Coturnix japonica: one gene and its partners. The protein of the gene in region 1 binds, or shares a complex with, the protein of each later gene. Links are inferred from orthologs where the notes say so. Each region holds a gene or a part of one and is shown on either strand. Other genes may lie near its edges.

The links. Proteins that work in one complex are often made in the same cells at the same time.
Region 2: the proteins of CAB39 (region 1) and STRADA are in contact, whole or in part, in a crystal structure (PDB 3GNI), measured with the Homo sapiens proteins. The link is inferred for Coturnix japonica from reciprocal best matches to the Homo sapiens genes CAB39 and STRADA. Residues at the interface, in NP_001124321.1 of Homo sapiens: Leu26, Glu27, Lys28, Gln29, Tyr55, Gly56, Thr57, Asn58, Ala85, Asp86, Gln88, Leu89, Phe92, Glu93, Lys96, Arg107, Glu138, Leu141, Ile145, Ser176, Thr177, Phe178, Asp179, Ser182, Asp183, Glu221, Asn222, Tyr223, Val224, Arg227; in NP_001003787.1 of Homo sapiens: Pro64, Leu104, Glu105, Cys107, Ser108, Asn109, Val112, Gln116, Leu119, His120, Lys123, Leu124, Phe125, Asn126, Thr136, Phe137, Ile138, Asp140, Asn141, Leu143, Tyr185, Met189, His223, Gly224, Arg226, Val426, Asp427, Asp428, Trp429, Glu430.
Region 3: the proteins of CAB39 (region 1) and STK11 are in contact, whole or in part, in a crystal structure (PDB 2WTK), measured with the Homo sapiens proteins. The link is inferred for Coturnix japonica from reciprocal best matches to the Homo sapiens genes CAB39 and STK11. Residues at the interface, in NP_001124321.1 of Homo sapiens: Gln109, Gly111, Thr112, Lys196, Leu197, Leu238, Asp239, Arg240, His241, Phe243, Met246, Ile250, Val280, Ala283, Asn284, Pro285, Glu317, Gln318; in NP_000446.1 of Homo sapiens: Gln100, Arg103, Arg104, Glu165, His168, Ser169, Gly171, Leu201, His202, Pro203, Phe204, Ala205, Ala206, Asp207, Asp208, Phe234, Arg301, Ser307, Arg310, Lys311, Lys312.

The regions. Positions count from the first base shown.
Region 1 is NC_029524.1:4,200,496-4,204,052, reverse strand, and holds part of CAB39 (calcium-binding protein 39), read left to right. Parts: intron 1-976; exon of another isoform or gene 977-1,137; intron 1,138-3,300; 5' UTR 3,301-3,343; coding exon 3,344-3,457; intron 3,458-3,557. UniProt on the Homo sapiens protein: Component of a complex that binds and activates STK11/LKB1. In the complex, required to stabilize the interaction between CAB39/MO25 (CAB39/MO25alpha or CAB39L/MO25beta) and STK11/LKB1.
Region 2 is NC_029542.1:2,243,565-2,247,921, reverse strand, and holds the start of STRADA (STE20-related kinase adapter protein alpha), read left to right. Parts: upstream 1-1,526; 5' UTR 1,527-1,559; exon of another isoform or gene 1,560-1,634; 5' UTR 1,635-1,678; coding exon 1,679-1,714; exon of another isoform or gene 1,715-2,265; intron 2,266-2,707; coding exon 2,708-2,765; intron 2,766-2,993; coding exon 2,994-3,046; intron 3,047-3,628; coding exon of another isoform or gene 3,629-3,657; intron 3,658-4,357. UniProt on the Homo sapiens protein: Pseudokinase which, in complex with CAB39/MO25 (CAB39/MO25alpha or CAB39L/MO25beta), binds to and activates STK11/LKB1.
Region 3 is NC_029543.1:2,065,039-2,069,359, forward strand, and holds the start of STK11 (serine/threonine-protein kinase STK11), read left to right. Parts: upstream 1-1,490; 5' UTR 1,491-2,850; coding exon 2,851-3,140; intron 3,141-4,321. UniProt on the Homo sapiens protein: Tumor suppressor serine/threonine-protein kinase that controls the activity of AMP-activated protein kinase (AMPK) family members, thereby playing a role in various processes such as cell metabolism, cell polarity, apoptosis and DNA damage response.

The sequences.
Region 1 (3,557 bases):
CATCCAAACTCTCCTCGTGTGAACAAAGCAGCAGGCTCTAGCTGAACACTTAATGTACCACAGTCTATTTTAAGGGAAGCAAGAGTAATACCATGTAATACTGTGAGCCCTAAAATAGAACAAGAAATTAAGGTTAGCATACCTGGCTGTTTCACAACGTGGGCAAGGAGATTTTTCTGTACAGCACTTGGGTAGCATTGGCTGAAAGACCAAGAAGGCAGCATGCATGTTAGAAGGCATTAAGCATGACACGGCCAGCCATCCTGCAGAGGTGTTGGTGTGGCCTCCCCTGCAGTGTACTGTGCAGTTCTGGGCTCCATGACCTAACAAGGAGCTTAATTAGAAACAGGAGTGCGTGCTTCTTACAGCATGCTTCATTTAAAGCAAAACCAAAGGTTCCCACTGCCGAGTAACCATGGCCTGTATTGTAACATTTGTACTATTATATGGGCAGCATGGTTTCTTACTCTTCACATAAGAGAAAGATCCCAACTGAAAGAGAAAAGACTCTGGGCTACTGCATCTATGTTTTGAATATTGGTGAAATGAAAGGCATGCCTGAGGAGTCCAGGGACTTGTAAAATCCTGCCCATGGTCCCTTCCAACAAACAGCTGAAGGCAGGGAGCTCTGGGAAGGTGAGGGAAAGCAAAGGAGCCCGGCAGAGCACCGAGCCATCCATGGACTTGCTGCAGCTTTTGGAGCACCTTTGTAAAGCTACAATTAAAACTTTGTAAGGAGTTCACAGGAAATCCAGGTGCTGGGGATGTGAAGCAATTACCATGTGACATGGTGTGAGGTCTGTTCTTCAGTTATTCACAGAAAGTGTCATTTGATGTTGTTTCCTTTTTTTTTCACTCTGCAGATGTGGGTGGTGGCAGCTCCTTCTGATCTCACACAGATATTGGCATTGTCTATTGTTGCAGGGTGTTGGTGTGGCTTTGCTGGGCTGAGGAGGGAACAGCTGGTGTGTGTTCTCAGATCCGCATTAAGCACATCTCTGTGAGACAAGAGGTTGCCTGGCTTTTCTTGGCAGGATGGACACAGGTCTGTCAGTAGAGTTTTGCTGCAGGGTTGGCTGGATCTTCAGTCTTGAGGCCTCAGAGGATGTTTCTGACAGTGCTGCCGCATTCCCTCTGGTAATACAAGTGGAATAGAAATACTATTTATTCTGTTATCTGCAATAAATTAAATACCTTGAAGCAGAATGCCACCATTGGTAATGGAGGGCGTGGATTGCTTTCTTCTTTGCCTTGTTTTCTAAATTGCTTATGAGAAATTATTCAGAAACATACCTAATTTGGGAACAATGCTTAGTATAAACGTCTGCTATTATTAATCGATTATCTTCTGATAGATCTGCTAGTGGATAAAGTTGTTTATGTCTCGTGCATACGATTTATGCCGACGCTGGTACATTTCATAAGTCAGTGCAGGGCTATTTTTAATTTGAAGAAGCAGTTAAGCAGTCTCTGGAGGGAAGTCCCATTTTGCAAGCCTAGACACTGGGCAGATCTTAAGAATAGATATTTGCTGTTGTTCTTAGTATGTTACGTCTGTCATCCATGTTGACTTTTAGATTAGAAGCGATGTAGTTGTGACCAAGGAATTACTGTTCTTCCATTCACATGTGATAAAGTTGAGGCATAAAATCCTCTTGCCTAAGGAGTGATGTGTGGTTGGTTTATATCTCCTAAGGAATCTGTCCGGTGTTTGTAGTTTTGTTTTTACAACCTGTTGTTACTGCTGAGAGCACAGCAGGTATCTGTGATCTGGAGAAGACTGGAAGTATTTGGTGGATGGATCTTGCAGCTACCTTCATGCTGTTATTTTTTCCTTTCATCTGCAAGTATTCCCATTTAAAAACAACCCAACTTAGACCTTTTGTCAGCCGGTGGCAGGTGTGAAATGGTGAAGGCAACATCTGTGCAACTGCTTTCCTGATGCAGGTTTTTATGGATGCTTTCTTGGCAAAGGGTTGGGTTACTTCTGTCCTTCATCTTTTAACTGCCGTCCTTGGGCCAGCCCAAATTGCTTGCGTTAAAAATCGGCATAACTCAGGAGTAGTGTAAAATCAATCTTTTTAATTCTCGTGTAACATGATTGGAGCGGATCAGGTTTAATAAAGTTCACAGCAAATGAGCCAATATTTGAATCAAGGATCAAAGTACTTGGTGTTAGATAAGAAACTTCAAGGTTATGATTGGCTCGCTAATAACCTTGCTGGTGTTGTCTGAGTGCAGAACTTCATCATTTCAGGCTAATATTCCTTCTTTGTTACGACACTTATCTGTTCTCTGTCAGCTCTGACTGGCATTTGCGTCCAGCCCGAGCAGCGCTGGCAACATTTTGAATGCAGGATTTCCTGTTCTTCACTGTCTAGATTAGAGTTCTAGAAGTGCTTTCATTTGTAAGAAGTTTTTATTGTTGTTAAAGTGGAAGCATATGTGTTCAGTAACAAAAGCTTTTGTACGCTGATTTATATTAATAATATTTGTCTATTTTGTACACAGAAGTGAATATATATGTATATATGTAAATATACAGAGGAACAAATGTACTTGGTTGCAGAAGCCAAGTATTATAGTGAAGGACAATTGCTACCATTACATTTGAAAAAGGTGGATTAGATGTTTAGTTTTAATATTTCCTTGTGCCTTCTTTAAGCCCTTGCTGGTGATGACAAAGTTAGCTTCCCATGAAACGAGTCAGGGAGAGGCAGTATTTCAGAATGAAATTACATCAATATAGGCACGAGAAAATCAGGGTATAGCAAGTGTTGTGAGCTATGTGTGAGCTGCTGCCTGCAGGCTCACCTGCACTGAGCTCTTAGCTCCTGCACTAAGTAGGCCTTGCTGTCAGCTTTGCTTTTGTTGTGGAATGAGTATGGATGAAAGTATGTACCTGGACAGTCATTGCAGTGCAGCTGAGGCACAATGCTTTGTGTCAAAAACCTAATATAAAAACATATTTTGCTTGATGACATTGATTACAACAACTTATATGTGTTAGTCTCCCCTGCATGGGGCTCTTGTACCATGTGTGGCTTTGGATATGGTTAATGTACTCTTCAATTTCTTCCTGTGACATAAAGTAATTATTTTAATGTGAGTAATAATTAATTTCTATATTTTGGAATCAGAAGCACAGTTAGCATGTAGATTTGCAATGGCAGACTCTAGTTTAACTGTCAAGGGTGGTTATTCCATACATAAATCCTTTGCTGAGTTCTCTTCATGTGTGTTGTTACAGTGGCCTCATGCATCTATTTATGACATGCCTTTTTCTCCCTCCTTTTCCAGGTGAAGCAGGAGCTGTAGAAGGAAGACCTGGTGGCTCGCAACCATGCCGTTCCCTTTTGGCAAATCCCACAAGTCTCCTGCAGACATAGTGAAGAACCTGAAGGAAAGTATGGCAGTTCTAGAAAAGCAGGATATATCTGACAAGAAGGCAGAAAAGGTATGGATGGGGCTTTCAAGTTGTTAAACATTGATTAAATGGAAGAAAACAAAGAGGGAATTTACAGCTCTTTGCTCTGAACCAGTTACGATTTTTGTTA
Region 2 (4,357 bases), on another chromosome or scaffold:
CTGTGCGTTTATTTGCATCAGGCTTTTAAAGGCACAAAACATAAAGCCTTCCATACACAATATGGATACTTCAGGGATTTAAGCCCAGTAGAACAAGAGTTATATTTCTTTTTCTTTACAAATAAGGTACCGGTTCACCTGTAGGCATGATAGGTAACATAGATGGTTAGATGGAACGGGAGTGGAGTGTGTGAGTGTCGTTTCCTACTTGTGGTTTTGAATGCTACGACCTTAATACAGTGTAAAATGTCAGCATGGTGGTTCTTTAGGAGCGCATGGTGAGTTAAGCAGCTTCAAGTAGCCTCCCTGGAATATTTTAACTGTAAAAACTTGCCTCAAGAACATTTCTCCTGGTCTTAGCAGCTGCTGCCTCATTCACTTCAGCAAGAAGCTCGATTCAGTGGAGTATCTGCAATTGCCAATTTCCCCAAGAAAGTAAAAACGTTCCAGTGGACATCTTGTCTTGTCTGATAAGAGTATGAGTGTGTGTGGGGGGAAGTGAATGCCCTTGTGCAAGCACTTCATTGAGAGAGCTGTGCATTTTATAAATGCTTCTAGTCCAGAAGGTGTGACGATATTGTTGCTGTGACAGACTTTTTACAGTTCTGTGGGGAAAACAGTGTCTTGCATTTCCTTGTACAATGATTTGTACAAACTTTGTTCTTAGGCAATAAGAATGAGCTGCTGTTGAAACAGCACTTGCTTCAAGCTCTTGTTCCAGCGTGGGGTACTTCACGTGGATTTAAATGCAAAAGTCTGTAACCTGATCCATGCAAATATGTGAAATTTTATAATGGTTGGTAAAAGTTAATTTAAAACCAAAACCGATGTAGATTATGTGAGATTTTAGCACTATTTAGCTTTAAAGATTTAATATGATCGTGTTTCAACAATTTCTTTGAGAAGAAATATTGGTTCGTGCTCTCTTGAAGCGGACAGCTTTCCCTCAGTCCCACGGCAGCTAATTTTGTAATACGAACATTCAATGAACTACCTAATGAAGAGTAAAGGATCATTGAAACACTCTACCTGTCGTCTTTGCTTTGGACTCCATGTTCCTCTCAGCTAATGGTATATAAGTATCTCAGGTGCCCTGGGGAGGGCTCAAGGCATATTTTGTGTTGAAGAGCAGTTTTTTTTTCCCAGTCACTACAACTTCCTCAGCATTTTATAGGCATTACAACTTAACATGACCTCAGCAGTGGCCTGAGGACAGTGATGTGAATTAGCCTGTCGGGTGAGAGGTGGGAATGGAGTAAGGGCCTGCAGCCAGAGATGGATCTCTCATCACCAGCTGGAGATGGTATAGATGGAGGCTTTTCCTCTTGGAGCGAAGGCAGCCGCCGTTCTGCGCTGCTTACGGGCTGAGAGACCTCAGCCACTCCCTGAGGAGATCCAACATGGCGGCGCCCTCTGCTTCCCGCCTTTCTCGTGCGTGAGCGCGGGCTTGCGAGATGACGTCAAACGTGTGCGCCGCGTCGTCGTGAGTCACGTGGAGGCGTGCTGACGTCACACGCAGCGTCTCTACCGGTGCGAGTAGGCCGCAGCCTGAGGAGAGGGTGAGGGTGAGGGCTGAGGGGGGAACCGGGCCGGACCGGGCCGGACCGGGCCAACCGACCGCTGTCATCCTTTAGGTTGCCTGCCCTTCATTGAGTGAGGTAGCGCTATCGCGGAGTCCATGTCTTTTCTTGTAAGTAAACCCGAACGGATTAGGGTGAGTGTTAAACGGCGTCCAGCTCCCTCTAGCCGGTAAACCGGGCCGCGGCCTGTTGGGGGCCGGATGGAAAGCACCGTGTTGTGGGTCACGGGAGCCGCAATAAGAGCCGCCTTAAAGTCACGGTGCGAACGAGGGGAGCTGGGCCCGGCCCGGTACCGCCTCTATAGTAACATGTGTGTCTCCCCGAACCCAACGGGTTCCAAACGGGGCGCTGCTCATTTTTGCGTTATAAAGCGTCAAAGCGATCGGTGTCACGGGAGAAAAGCACTTGGAACGACTGACAGCAGCGGCTGCGATCACTGTGATGGACGGGCACTGTCACCCACCCAGCGGTGCTTTCCAGGGCCGCCCTTTTGCTTGCATTCAACGCCTCTGGCTGGTTTATCCGTTGTTTTATTGCCACGTTGTAACACGGGGCTGTTGGTGATTTGCTTCGTGCTAACAGCACTGCGAGCCTGAAGCTGCTTTATCTGTTCTGCTGCTCTTTGGATCACGGAGTCAAATAGCGCTGCACAAACAGTGCTGGCTCTGACATTCAAGCATGAATTCTGCAAGAGAACAACACTTATTGCAATGCTGTTTTAATTCTGCACCTAAATAGCACGTAGCCCAAATGCTTCACGTCCTCCAAGGTGTTGTCTCTATGTCAAAGCACTGATTTATGCACCCAAACGTTTATATCTTTGTATAAGGGAGCATTGCATGCTTGTTCTTTTTGCTCTTTGTGCACGTGTGAAAGCTCCTGTTTGAATAATGCACAATGAACCTTACTGTAAGTGCATGCCATTCAGGAGATGCAGTGTGCATGCTGCATGTGTGCCATCCTAATGGCAAACAAATAATATCCTTGTCTATGAGGTGGTTGTAACTGATGGGTTATAGACACGATAACGCTGTGTTATGATTCTGCTTTTAGGGGTGTGGGAGGAAAGGGGGGTGGTTTGTCCTTAAAGGAAGTAACTCCTTATTGGGGGATTTCTTTTCTCTTAGCGGTGGGTGTCCGAAAAGTTCATTGTTGAGGGCTTAAGGGAGTTCGAACTATTTGGAGGTAAGTTTTGCTCTCGTTAAGTGACCTTGATAGAAATGCCTTATTGAAGCCTTATTGTAGCCTGTTAATTTTGTAGAAGATATCTATCTAGTAATAAAAGAGATGGATACATCCATCTGTAGCACCAAATCTGGTTATTCAGGCTGACTAGCAATGCAGAGTTAACACAGATGCACCCAACAAGTCATTTGGAAATCAATTCCACACTGATGGCAGTTCTGTTTTCAGGCACTGCAGTCTGGTTTTGTTGGGTGAAAGAAAAGAAAGAGAGATTTGAGAAGGTAAATGGAGTAAGAATGAGTCTGAAACTGTTATTGAGAAGGTGAATGGAGTAAGAATGAGTCTGAAACTGTTATTGAGAAGATAAATGGAGTAAGAATGAGTCTGAAACTGTTCTGATGGCTCCCCAGCATTGTCTGTATGGGAGCTGATTGGTTTCTGGTCTGCTATATTCTACTAGGATGCAGAAATGTTGATCAGTGACTTAGTATAGGAAAGATATATATATATATAGAGAGAGAGAGATCTTCAAGCTTCTGCTTCAAATAACTAAACACCAGATTATTCTGTATTCAGGCTAAGTTTGTGTGTCATTCCTTATCTATCAGTTTGCTTTTATGTTGAACGTAAACAGCAGCCCTACTGAATCCCTTTGATTTTCATTCTTGTGCCACTGTTTGATTACTTGTAATGCAGCAGCCTTATCTGTAAGTGAAATATTTGTATAAGGATATATATTTGTAGCTCTTTGGTGTCGATAAGTGTGGGGTTATGTACTGAGTTCTCATCCTTATGTTCCAACTATATTTTGGATGGGTGTCTGTTGAACACAACTTGGTGAACAATGAATTTCTTTACTCCAGAGCAGCCTCCGGGTGACTCTAGGAGAAAAGTAAGTGGCGTTTGCAGGCTGTGGTGCTGTGGTTCATTGCATGGAGATTATCCTTGTGGAAGTTTGATTTTCTTTTTTTTCCTTTTGACCTTAGTTTCTATTACTTCATCTCTATACGTAGCTCTGCAAGCGTGGAGATGGGTTTCACCCTGGCATGGAGGTTTTGGTGTATGGTTTGCAAACATAGTGACTGGTTTGGAAGTTGGAACTTCCCCTCTTGGATTAGTGGTAGGGGTTGGTCCCCTCCACCCTCCTGCCCAGCCAAGAGTTTCTGTTTTGAGATTGTGAAGGTCTGATTTTTGAGTGATGCCCATCTCTGAACTGGTTCAGAATAAATGGATGAAGTTTGCTTGCAACGCTTCTGAAAACAGCCCCAATTTATGATTATTTTGGCCATTCTGAACCATATTCCCTTCTGAACACTTGGATTTTGATTTCCTTTATTTCCTCTGGGCAGCAGCTACATCAGAGGCTCCAACATCAGAAGCAAGTATGTAACTTTCAGTCTGATGTGACCTGACCTCCTGTTGCTTGGTCTTCAGAGCCATTTCTCTGCACACACACAGAGCTTTGCCTCCTAAAACCTAAAGCCACTTGTCAACATGGAATCTCTGCTCAAAACCAGACAGCCAGAACGGAGCTGCTGAGAACTTTGCCTTTGCTTTTTGTTCTGCAGGCCCTGATGACACACAGCGATGAG
Region 3 (4,321 bases), on another chromosome or scaffold:
TGGTGTCCTCAGCCCTGAGCTCCTGCTGCCCAGAGATGGAGAGGGGTTCATGGAGCCCAGTGCTGGTTTCCCTCTTTGTTCTGCTGGTGTTCACTTGTGTGTATGGCCCTGTATGCTGGCGGGCTGCTCTTACTCTTTAAATAAAAGTAGAGATTCCCACAGAGCTTAATCACTTCCAGGAGAAGGGATTAAAACACCCCTTAGTGCAAAAGTCAAAAGAACAAAAATCTCAACTTCTTCCAATGAACAGGAATCTCAAGGAAACCACCGTGTGGGTCATATTGGAAAAGCTTTTCCTAATGTTTTCAACCGTTTTATTCTAACATCGTCCAAAAGCAGAAGCCAACAGCTGGAGGTGATGCCATACCCAAGGACACAGCCTCTGGGAGCAGCTGATTGAAGGCAAGCTCTGCAAGGTTGTGGATGTGAGGAGCTCCAGAGCAGGGACACTGCAGGGTCATGGGCATGAGAATGAAGCTGGAACACACGGGGGCCCTGCAGGACTATGAGCTCTGCTGTGCACTCGGCCAGGAGGTGGCAGCTCTTGCTGCTCTGTGGTGTTTCTTGAGACGCTTCTGCGAGGATCCAGCAAGGAGAAAGACAGCAACAACACCTTTGTGAGACAGAAAACAGCCAAAAGGTCAGGATGACAGACCCTGCAGACCCTGCAGAGTGACTGCAGCACTACCAGCACCTCTGGTTTGAGAATGTCAGTTTGTGAGGACGTACCTGTGGTAACTGCAGGGTCTGGCGGGGTGGGAGGCTCAATAGCTGGGTCCTTCCCAGCTGCTGTGTGGAATGGAGGACACTGCCATGAACACGAGGATGGGCAGCAGAGAACCATGAGCCTCTTGTGACTCATTCAAGCCTCTCCTGCCTTTATTCCTGGTCAGAAGCAGAGGTTTATAGCACACAATGCAGAGCAGAAAGCAGCTGCTGCCTTCCAGCCTAATACAGGCCTCATTTCACCTCTGTAGGCCTATAGGTACCCTATATATGTGTTACCCTATAGGTAAAGGCAGCACCGAGTCGTTTACCATCATTAACGTCCAAGAGCACAGAGAACGTTCAGCCTGATGGCTGCTGGGCTCCTCACTGCGCTGAGCAGCCCATAGGGCCCCATTAAGCACCTTTAAGGCCGGGCCGTACAGCAGGCCCCGCCCGGCCCGACTGAACAGGCCATAGCAACCACTTCCCCTTCACCCTTCGCCCCCTATGACTGACAGCTCTCTCAGCCTATCACGACGCTCCGTCCCACACCCCGAGTGAAAGGGCGGGTTGTGAACCAACCGGAAGCGAAAGCCTCCTAACCGGCCCCGCCTTCTCGTGGCATGATTGTAGCCAATCAGAAGGCGAGCTCGCGGAGGCGGGGCCGGCTCGGTAGCCAATGGGAGAGGACGTTGGTCGCCAGGGAGGCGCACGGCCCGGGGGGGGGGCAACGGCGGGATCGCGGCGGGGCCGGGCGGGGGCGGGAGGTAAACAAAATGGCGGCGGCGTGCGCGATGCGGCGGCGGCGGAGAAGGGGGTAACGGGGTTAAAGGGGATAAAGGGGCGCGGTTCGGCTGGAGTGGGCCCCGAGGCGAGTCCGTAGGGGGCAGAGCGGGGACGGTATCCGGTGGGGATCGCTGTGAGACGATTGGACGCCTAAGGGAGAGTGGAGCCGGGGCCCGGCCCGGTTTGAGGCCCGGTAGCGGGGAGGGAGGACGAGGCCTATAGGCCGCCCCGCTGCCTTCCCTGTGTTGGCGGGGCCTAACGCTGACACAGCGGTGCCGGTGCACGGGGAAGGGCCTGTCGTGGGCCCCTCCCAGCTCACGGAGCCCGGTGGTGGTACCGGTAGCGTCCTCGCGGCCCAGCAGCGTTTGGAGCCTTCTGTTGTCACCTCTCTCCATCCCCGTGTCCGTGCTGTTACCTCCGGCCCGGCTGACACCTGTAGGGTTGACCCGTGAAGTGTCGGTTCCCCTTCCTTCACTTCCTTCCTTTGAGTAGGGAATGGGGTGCAGGGGGCGGCTGGCACAGGGGGGTGTCGCTTCTTGAGTTGTTGTGCTCCCTGTTGTGTCTGTGCAGCTCTGGGGTTTGGCTGGCTGCCGGTGGGGTTTGGTTGTCCAACACCCGCTGACCCTGGGAGCAGCAGCAGCGGTGACACATCATGTGCCAGGCGCAATCCAGGTGGCTGAAGGATGCCCCTGGGAGATCTCAATAGGCACCGAAGGCCTCAAACTTTTGTAGGCGTGAAAAGCGAAGAAATTAGAATTGTCGCTGAAAACTCTTTCAAAGAAACTTGGTTCCAGCTTCCAAACGGCTGAAAAAAAAGCCCCCAACGTCTGCTCTAGTGCTTGGAAGGTGAAGGCTGCAGGGCAGGAGCGCTTTCCCCCGCCGTCCTGCTGGGAGCTGGTGCCTGTGATTTACTGGGAATGGAAAGCCACGAACGAGACTTGGCTGTGGTTTGTTTTATGTGATGGTCTGAGGTCCCCCAGGATGACCTAGCACTTACCTTCACAAACTGGGCCAAGCCAAAGGCCGAAGTGACTTGAAAGAACCCTAGTGGTGGGACCAGGCCAGGAGCAAAGCGAGTCCCAACCTGATTGTGTCTGATCAGAGCTATATATTCTTCTTAAGAGACCCGTTACTGGAGCAGACCTGGATCTTTTAGCATCCAATTGAGCTGGAAGCGGCTCATAGTTCGTTTTGTTCTGTTGTTTTTGGCTTTGTTTTTTGTTTTTTAATTAATGTTTGTACAATCTTCTGGATGTTTTTTTTTCGAGAAGGAGTAAAAGGGAGTGTTGGAAAACAAACAAACAGGATTAAAACCCTGGGAGCTTAAGGAAGACAGGTTAAAGAACTTAATCCAGGATGGATATGCAGGAGCCTCAGCAGCTGGGTATGTTTGGAGAGAGTGAGCTGATGTCTGTGGGGATGGACACTTTTATCCATCGCATCGACTCGACTGAAGTCATCTACCAACCACGGCGGAAAAGGGCCAAGCTCATTGGCAAGTACTTGATGGGAGACTTGCTTGGAGAAGGATCTTATGGCAAAGTCAAGGAGATGCTGGACTCTGAAACCCTCTGTAGGAGAGCTGTGAAAATTCTGAAGAAGAAGAAGCTACGCCGGATTCCCAACGGGGAGGCAAATGTGAAAAAGTGAGTAAATATATACGTAGCTTTATGTTTTGGAAATGTTTCATCATAAGGTGTAGGTATTAAGGAATGTCCTCCTTCCTCAGCTGTGTGGCTGAGGGCTCCTAACCTTGTCCTGGGGGCAGCTCCTTGCACTGAATGGGAGTGCAGTAGCACTGGGCAGTGTCTGTGTGCCCAGGAGGGGCTGTGCTCTCCAACTCTTCACACACTGATTGCTGCCACCCACGTCAGTGCTGGGATGCGATCCCATGCATTGTGGGCATACCAAGCCTTGGCTTTTTATTCTTGGGTTCTCTTCTGGCTAATGAGTTTAGGAAGCGATTCAATGCTCTTTTCAGTTCGTTTCTGCAGCTGTAAAATAGAGACAAGGCTTGTCAACCTCTTTTCAGTGACTCAAGATCTGTGCTTGGAAGGTTTTCCAAGTGCCAGTTACATACTGATTAGTCAGGGCACAAGTAACTAATTAAAACATTCTGTGGGGAGAAGCCTGGTGTTATGCTTCATTTGCAGGACTCGTTAGGTGGAACTTTCCCTTTCAGCAGCATTGTGCCCTGCACACGAAGACCTCCTCGCAGCCTGTTTCCCACAGCAAGCTGTTTATTACAGCCCTGAGAGATGGCTGTTTATCTGCTGGGAGGGGAGAGCCTCCTGCAGCCGCAATGGTTTGTACAGGCTTATCTCATAGCAGGAGGGAGGACTTGGGGGGGGTGTTTAGAGGACTCTTGTGCTGCGACGTGCTGAGCGCAGGGCTCTGACCCAGCAGAGTCTTGTTTCTGTTTCTCAGTTTGGTTTGAGTTCGTGAGCTCAGCTGTGAGATACTTCACGTCCTGTACCTTGTGTCAGCTCCTGGAGTTTGCCTTCTAACCTTCAGTGACAGGCATAGTGACAGAACAGGCACAGGGCTCAGCGCCGGGACCTCCCTTTGCTGGCTCGAGTTCAGAATAAGAGTGAACTGCTGGTTAATGTGTAATGAAATGTTTCTTGTTTTTCTGGTACAGGTATGGGCGCCTTGTTCCATCCCTGCCCCTTTCCTTCTATCCAGAGCTCTGCTGTGAAGAGGGAGATTGTTTCTTATTTATTGGGACTTCACTTTTTTCTCCTGGTAGTGAAGAAATACTTCCAAACACGAGGGGGGATGTTGATGTCAGGACTATGGTGCTGGTTCTGAGTCCCAAAGTGAACCC